Daphnia pulex: one gene and its partner. The main gene of each other region encodes a partner of the protein of the gene in region 2 in a complex. Links are inferred from orthologs where the notes say so. Each region holds a gene or a part of one and is shown on either strand. Other genes may lie near its edges.

Region 1 (3,008 bases), on a different chromosome or scaffold from region 2:
GCTTATTAGTTTGAAAATATGAATGCTATATTTACAGCCAAGATATTAATAAAATCTTTTTTAACATTTGAATGACGGGACACTTCAGTGAGTCTGTGACTTCAATATTGATTTACACTTTAGCTTAATGGTATTTATACACCCTAATGGAAAATTCTTATTTGTCTAATTCCATAGTCCAAAATACAAATATTTGAAACATATACCCTTTTAATTACAGTAAATTTGAATTCAGACTTGACAGTGGTGCTCAGCATCCAGCTGTTGCTACGTGGATATATGGTACGAATCGATTTTTCATTTAAGACTATACAGAATCAATAAATGCACAACTTACCCCATTTTAACTGTCGATGTCGAAGCACGAACAACTTAGAAAAATCTCAGATTTCGTTGGCAAACGCAAAAACTTTAAATACACGTATAGCACGCCATGACACAGGAAGAGCTTCTGTCAAATGGAACTGAAAGCCAGAGGTTGGGTTCGTAACTCCGTCTGCGTACGAAGGCCGCTAGGAAATCCTTTGCGCACGCAAGGGGAAAAAAATACTGGTCGCTATGCGCATGATTATATTTTTGTATCGGCTTTTACACAAATTCAAGGCACTAACACTATTAGTTACATTTTTGATGAGGTATGTTAAGAATTTGAGGACAATAATTTCAAGAAAAAAATTTATAATAAACTAAACCTGTCAAAATGCATATCTCCAACAGAATGATGACAATTAGGACAAGCTTATTAGTCATAGCAACACGAGACATTGACTTAAGGATTCTTCTACTTCTTCCCAGCTCTGCATCCGTTTCAGTCAATCTATCTCTTGTACGAACAAGCACTTCTCTTTGTTGACTTAATTCTTGAATAACTCCAGTGCCAATCTCTTCACTTTCTAAAGCAACCTGAGTAGTTCTGTAGAGGCTCTGTGATGTTCTTTCCAGAACTGCAGTTCCTTGGCGAACAGTTGTTTGAAGAGCATTATCAATGCCCCGGTTTTGGCTAAATGCAGCAGTGGATTGGTTTTCCAACAGTTTTCCTCTTGATGAGGCCAGAGACATTTCTGATTGCTTGGAAGAATTGATCAATAGAGCAAGTTTGGAACAGGTGTCCTGATGTCTTCGTACTCTGAAGTTGGATGATAAAAAAAACATTAGTTGAAATTTTACTACATGTATTGTTTGCTGTGTAAACTTAAGACATTCACATTTTTACCTGCCAATCATGTCCATCCTAAAAGAGCCAGGAGCTGCTCTAGCTTCAGCTTCCATTTCAAATATTGCTTGTTTAGCTTCATCTAGTCCTCTTTCGACATCGGCAATAACTTGCTTTTTTTCTTCGCCAAAACATTGTTCTAGCTTACCGGAACACTTTCTTTGCAGAATTTCGAACAAAACTTGTACATCTTCATCCAGAGTTTCAAATTTCTCTGAGCTCATTTCTGTTTCTTGTAGCACAATTCTGAACCTATTTGAGCACTACATACGATACCTTGCTATCAGGACGAAGACAAGGAATGTATTGTAGACTTGACGTATAAAACACCATCTGACAAAACATTGAAGACAGCGCCACAAACGGCGAGAATTAGCATTTCCATGACATTTACATTTAATAGCTAATTATTAAGATAAATTAAACACATTTCAGCCTGCAGAAGGTTTATTCAGATGTCACAGAAAAAACGTCATACAGGCACAGGTTCAATGATGTCACTCATTCCTTCTTATTTTTCTTCCCCTTTGCTTTCTTGGCTTTCGATCCCTTATCAGCAGCTGATTCGGGAACAGAAGCTTCTTCTAATGGGATAGCTTCAACGGGAGCAGCAAGAACCTTTTCCAACGGCTTCACTTCCGGGACAGCAATCGGTGTTGGGGCAGGAACGACTGGTGGCGATTTTCCTTTTACAGGAGTAGCGACTGGTGTTACCACCTTAACTACAGGTTCAGGGATGGTAACGATTGGCGGAGATGGTTCCTTAGCTGGAGCTAGGGCAGTCTTCACCTCAACAACGGACGCGGGTGTTACATCCATCGGTTCTACTTGCAAATCCTTTGCAGCCGTCTTGGATTTCTTGCTTTTCTTTGTTTCTGGTGGTGTTGGCTTAGGGGTTTCAACAGGAGGAGGTTGAGTTGGTTTGACATCTTGGACCGGTGCTTGAACGGGCGCTTCTTCTTTCGGCTTTTCAACAGGTAAATTTGGTACGGGTACTACTGACTGTAGAATGGATATACAAATTAGAACTTGGACTATTTTCCAAATCAGATTCTCACTACGATGGACAACTCACCAAAAACATCTGTTGATTAGCTCAATAAACCATGCTGTGTGCGCTCACTCGCAGGCTAGGCAGCTACCTTCTTGGTAGCACTCGCCTGTACATGTTAAACAATGTGGCATGCATTAAGTTACGTTCACATGCGGTAATACAATTTTAACAATTCAAACAGAAATCAAACGAAAAACTATCTAAGACATACAAACATTCACAGAAAACAAAATTACCTCGCGCTTCTTCTCGAGCAAAGCAGTCTTGCTCTTCTTCCGGGCCTCAGCAACAGCAGCGGCAGACTTCTTAATCACGGCGGAGTACGGGTTCAACTTCATCAATGCTCTCATGTTGGTAAGAGGATTGCGCTTAACAGATGCACGACGGATCATCTTCCTGTAATTTAAATTGTATCGATTAGTCATCTTTGCACCAGACAGTATCACTTGAATGATAAACTGCGTTCAGATTAATTTGCTAATCACAAAGATTCATAACCCAATGCTCTAAATGTGGTTTTCATCATTAATTAATCAATAATAAAGATTAAAAAGAAAGCTTGCCTTGGTCGTCTGATAACCTTCTGGATTTCATCAGACTTCAACAAACGAGACAAATCTGTTCCGGTCATGATGGGCTGAGGCAAGTTGTAGTTGCTCTTCAGCTTAGACTTCTGACGCCAAGTACCGTAGAGGGCGTTCAAGCGTTGGAAAGCAGACTCGGTCCAGATGCAGAAACGGC
Region 2 (4,557 bases):
AGTCTGGGTTGAATTGGATTCGCTCATTTGTAGCTATGATTAGGAAACGGCTGATATTAAACGAAATAGAACTAAACGATACGTCAACTAGCAAACTATTCAAGAAACGTTTGGTGAGTGCCCGACTCTCACTCGTAAGACCCATACAGTTTGTCAGAAGGAGATTTTGGATATAATGTATCGAGTATTGTCTGGAACGAAGAATTAAAACTGTTGGTCACCAGTTCAGACGATATTTGGATCAAGGTGTGTCCCAGAATTTAAATGGTTATTTAGAATTGAATGTTTAACTCCTTCACTTTCAAATAATTGAACGCAGAATTGGTAATTGGAAAGAGAGGATCCCAATATCCCATACGCATGATAGAATCCAGTTCTTCTTGTTGCGAATAAATTTGGAGTCCAATTCCCATCCAGCGTAATCGTGCAAAGAGCGAAGGAAAAACCTTTTTTAGTCGGGTCAGATTTCATTCATCTAATATCCCAGTGTCCCAAATCGATTATTTAATTAAGCGTAAGAGCTCAATCGCCTTTTTCTGATCTTTTTTCAGAGGGTTAGATAACGGATCAATTTTTGTTTGGTCGCCAACGGAAAAGGAAATACAACCAAGTTTGTTTTTCGATTGACATTCCCACGATTTGCATAAAATCTTATTTTCGCCAAACAGACGCTTTCTGGCATCGACCGGCTATGAAGGAAAATTGGTTATCTGGTCCACCAAGGTAAATTTGAAGGTAAAACGAGTGAAAGACTGGATGTCTTAAATTTCTCGCAAGGTGTTTAGAACTGGGAACAGATCATGACACCTTTTACCACCATCAGGGTTTCACCACCGGTGCCCAAGCCCAAAACTCTCAAACTAAACCTGCTCAAATAAAACAAACAACAAAAGTAATATCCACCAACAACGTAAAAATAATAAAATAAACTTTCACGAGGAAGCAATGTAGACTCACCATGAAAAGAAACCTCATGGGATGCATATTCTGATGTCTGTCGAAAAAAGATATAAACTGACTGGCACTGCATGGTGCAAAACCCTCCTACAATCCTTTCGTGCCATAGTTGATATTGTCATTTAGTGAAACAGTTCACAAATAGTTACCTTTCATCAAGTACCCAACACGTTACAATTCTAGAATAAGTCAGGCGCCATATTTTTCGTACAAATACTGCAGACAAAGGGATGTTTACCTCATCAGCATGTGTGTCACTTCCAGCCTGGTGCAGATTCAATTCACCACCGAAAATGTTGGTCACAGATTTTGCAAAGGAATCACAATGAACAGTACAATCTTTAAAGTAATATCACGCTGCTCAACACAAATGAAGACGATGGATGCACACTTTCGAACATTGTTCACTGTTCAGTGAACTTGTGAAGTAATGGCAGTAATGGTGTGCTCTCGAAGACGAATAGCTCGTCGTTCATGGGAATGGCGCCAAAGAAAAAAATACATTGCAACGAACTTGGCAAACGACTGGTAGATGGCGGACTAAGTTCCACAACAAACTGACGACGAGGACGTTTGAAAAATAGAACGGCTGTTGAGTGTTGGCAGATTTTTGCTCAAAAATCATTGTCAAACGGTAAGTTAAACAAATAAATTATAAAGAATATACATTACTTATTCAAATCAAAATATTTGTTGTTGGAAACACCGATCATGATGGATATCACGTCCCTGTTCAAGGTCTCCATCAAGACGGTCCGGACACGCAATAAAGCTAGCTGAAAACTGAAGACCCAAATTGCATTTTCCCACGACCATCCAAACATTTTTCAAAATTCCAAACGAAAGCCAAAGAGATTGTCTCAAATGTGGCCAAGTTGAAAGAGTTTTAGACAGCTAGAATTGAAAAGCAATCACGCTCGTGATGTGAGTGAACGGATTAGATAAACAAAATACCGTGATATCGGCAAAAGAGATGCCTATCAATGGACTCTGAGAAAGTTGTTATAATGTATCATTGGTTGTTGAAAGATAATTGAAATCAATTAAGTTGTCGGGAAAATGAAAAGACACGAGTTTTTCAAGTTTACTTTCTTTTGGGGTTATTTCAGTGGGTAAAAAAAATATAGTGGGTGTGGAGAGGAAAGTCGTATGGTGTGAGGTAAGGGGAGTGAGAAAAGATTTTTGTCAAAGGATTAGTCAAAATGCAGTTGCGTATCGAAAATTACAGCTATTTTAGCAACCTCGAGACAAGTTTGAAAAACAAAAAAGATTCCAGACAGAAAAAGTCAAGGTAAATTTTCCTACGACCCCGTTCAAATCCACCCCCTTCTTACCCCCTTGAACGTTTCTCTTTTGTTTTTCAGTTTTACTTTTCCAGTTCCATCTTCTTTAATTGCCACTTCAGTTTCAACATTCTTCGAGGCATCGTGCTGCCAGTCTCTTTAAATATTACTCATCTATCTGCGCATCGGTGAAATTTTTAAGATTCTAAACTCTATGGATATTCCAGCTTTAACGCTGTAAAATAATGTTTCGTTCATTTTAGTTCGCTACTTCTAAACGTGGTTTTACACTTCCGTTCGTCACTAAGGAGAGAGAAAATGACAGATGCTGTAAACTCACCAGGGAAAGGTAAGACAAATATTTATAAACTTGTCCATCGTTTTTAATCAATGTCTGATGTCCCATCCAGGTTTTTTCAAACCAGTTGAGTTCTCAATTACGAGTAAACTAGATGTGAGAAGTTCCAGTTTCCACCCCATCGATCCTGTTCTGGCGTGCGGCTTAGTTCAAGGAGGATTAGTTTTCCTTCGGGGAACTAATCACTCCACACCGTTTGAGAATTGGGAGATTGAACCCGTATACAGCCGATACGAAAGGACAATTTTATCCGTCCAATGGAACGTAAGTCTGTGAATCAAATAATTGTGTCCGTGTTTCACCCCATCAAAATCGTGTGCTAAATGTTACAGTGTTAATCCTAAGTTTCTATTTTTGTTTTTCTGTTTGGCGTAAAGGTCAATGGAACTAAAGTAGCTGCTGGCTCCGATAATGGGACTGTCATTATTGTGTCTTATCCAGGCTGTGGCAAACAAACATTCCGAAGAAATGGACGATCGAATTTCCCGTTAATTTTTTGGCATCCATTTAACCGGGACATGTTGGCTAGTTATAACAGTGCGGTAAGTGAAAAAAAAAAAACAATATTCATGTGCTAACTTAGTAGTTTGTTTAAGTAATGCGGGAAGGGAGAATTTCAAATTAAAAGTCGGTGTACACGAGAAACATTCACATTAATTTATTGTTCACCAGAAATTTTAAGTTTTAAAATTGTATCTCAAGTTGGACACAAACGAGGTGATGATTGCCAATTCAGCAGCTGAAAACCTCCTCACCCACACCATCAAATCAAAATGGAACTGTCAGACCCTGGCCTGGAACTCGCACAATCAACTCGCCTTTGGTTACGACGATGGAACGTTTGAAATTCACGAAATAGAATTGAATAACAGTCAAATGAAAAGCCGAATGGTCCAGAAAATCCGTCACGATCTGGGTGATCATGACAAAGCTGTTCACCATTTTTCGCTTATGAATTCCAGGGACAATTTTTCGCTTATGAACTACCAGGGCCAAACACGAACTTTCGTATCGAGTATCGCCATTAACAAAGAATTTGAACTTTTGGCTTCAGGTGGAACAGACTTTCGAGTCAAGGTATTAGAACTACATACGTTATATTTATTGGATTTTAATAGTCGATAGACAATTATTATTGTCTAAGTTTTTAAATTTAAATGAGTCAATATTTAAACAATTTTAATTGCAGATTTGGTCATTGGGCAGTAAAGATCCTATTCTTGTGTTGGATGTCGATTCCAATTGCAGAAATTTGGTATGGAATTCTGGCATCAAAGAAGAGATGACGACAAAAACTTTTATTGCATGGTTAGACTGCCTAGATTATTTTAATCAAGTTTTAAAAGATGCAAGTTTAAATTGACATTCTAATAACCACAGCTTTTTAATTGGCTTTTATTCAGCGGATTAGAAAGTGGAAACGTTGTAATTTGGTATCCATTTGATCATGAAATTCAGACACGAAAACTTACAGGACATGATCAGATCCATCAATTAATACTTTCACCTGACGGACGCTATCTCGCAACAACAGACTATTACAAGAAAGTGATTATTTGGTCTACAAAGGTAAAATATTTTTGATAGAAATTCTTAGTTGGATCAAACGCGACTCACGTACATTCTTTTCCCGCAATTTCTTTTTTAAATGAATTTTCAGAGTTGGAAGAGCATATACATTATACCCTCATCAGAGTATATGTATCCATACATGATGACATGGGACGCGGCCAGTTGCAAGCTAGCAATTTCAGAGAGAACAGGACAGAGACAGGTAAAATAATGCGTTTCATTCATCCAAATTTCAACAAATTAATGTTAATAAATAACTTCTCATCTCTGTGATTCAAACAGTTTAAAGTGATTGAATACTTCGTTGCCGAAAACTGCTGTGCTGGCTGCAAGAAAATGTCTCAAAATCTAAAGCGTTGCGCTCGCTGCAATTCAATCTTCTATTGT

What was found.
Region 1: syntaxin-18-like (region 2) and vesicle transport through interaction with t-SNAREs homolog 1B-like share a complex: the UniProt entries of both Homo sapiens proteins name them as parts of the SNARE complex. The link is inferred for Daphnia pulex from reciprocal best matches to the Homo sapiens genes STX18 and VTI1B.

The regions. Positions count from the first base shown.
Region 1 is NC_060018.1:4,117,838-4,120,845, reverse strand, and holds vesicle transport through interaction with t-SNAREs homolog 1B-like, read right to left. Parts: upstream 1,552-3,008; 5' UTR 1,438-1,551; coding exon 1,214-1,437; intron 1,127-1,213; coding exon 664-1,126; 3' UTR 554-663; downstream 1-553. Other genes in the region: homer protein homolog 2-like, read right to left, coding at 338-342; uncharacterized protein LOC124189006, read right to left, coding at 1,715-2,215, 2,504-2,663, 2,831-3,008. UniProt on the Homo sapiens protein: V-SNARE that mediates vesicle transport pathways through interactions with t-SNAREs on the target membrane. These interactions are proposed to mediate aspects of the specificity of vesicle trafficking and to promote fusion of the lipid bilayers.
Region 2 is NC_060027.1:1,471,558-1,476,114, reverse strand, and holds the start of syntaxin-18-like, read left to right. Parts: upstream 1-1,558; 5' UTR 1,559-1,591; intron 1,592-2,301; exon of another isoform or gene 2,302-2,428; intron 2,429-2,503; exon of another isoform or gene 2,504-2,558; coding exon of another isoform or gene 2,559-2,589; intron 2,590-2,650; coding exon of another isoform or gene 2,651-2,862; intron 2,863-2,975; coding exon of another isoform or gene 2,976-3,140; intron 3,141-3,300; coding exon of another isoform or gene 3,301-3,675; intron 3,676-3,787; coding exon of another isoform or gene 3,788-3,906; intron 3,907-4,001; coding exon of another isoform or gene 4,002-4,167; intron 4,168-4,258; coding exon of another isoform or gene 4,259-4,372; intron 4,373-4,452; coding exon of another isoform or gene 4,453-4,557. Other genes in the region: F-box-like/WD repeat-containing protein TBL1X, read left to right, coding at 2,559-2,589, 2,651-2,862, 2,976-3,140, 3,301-3,675, 3,788-3,906, 4,002-4,167, 4,259-4,372, 4,453-4,557. UniProt on the Homo sapiens protein: Syntaxin that may be involved in targeting and fusion of Golgi-derived retrograde transport vesicles with the ER.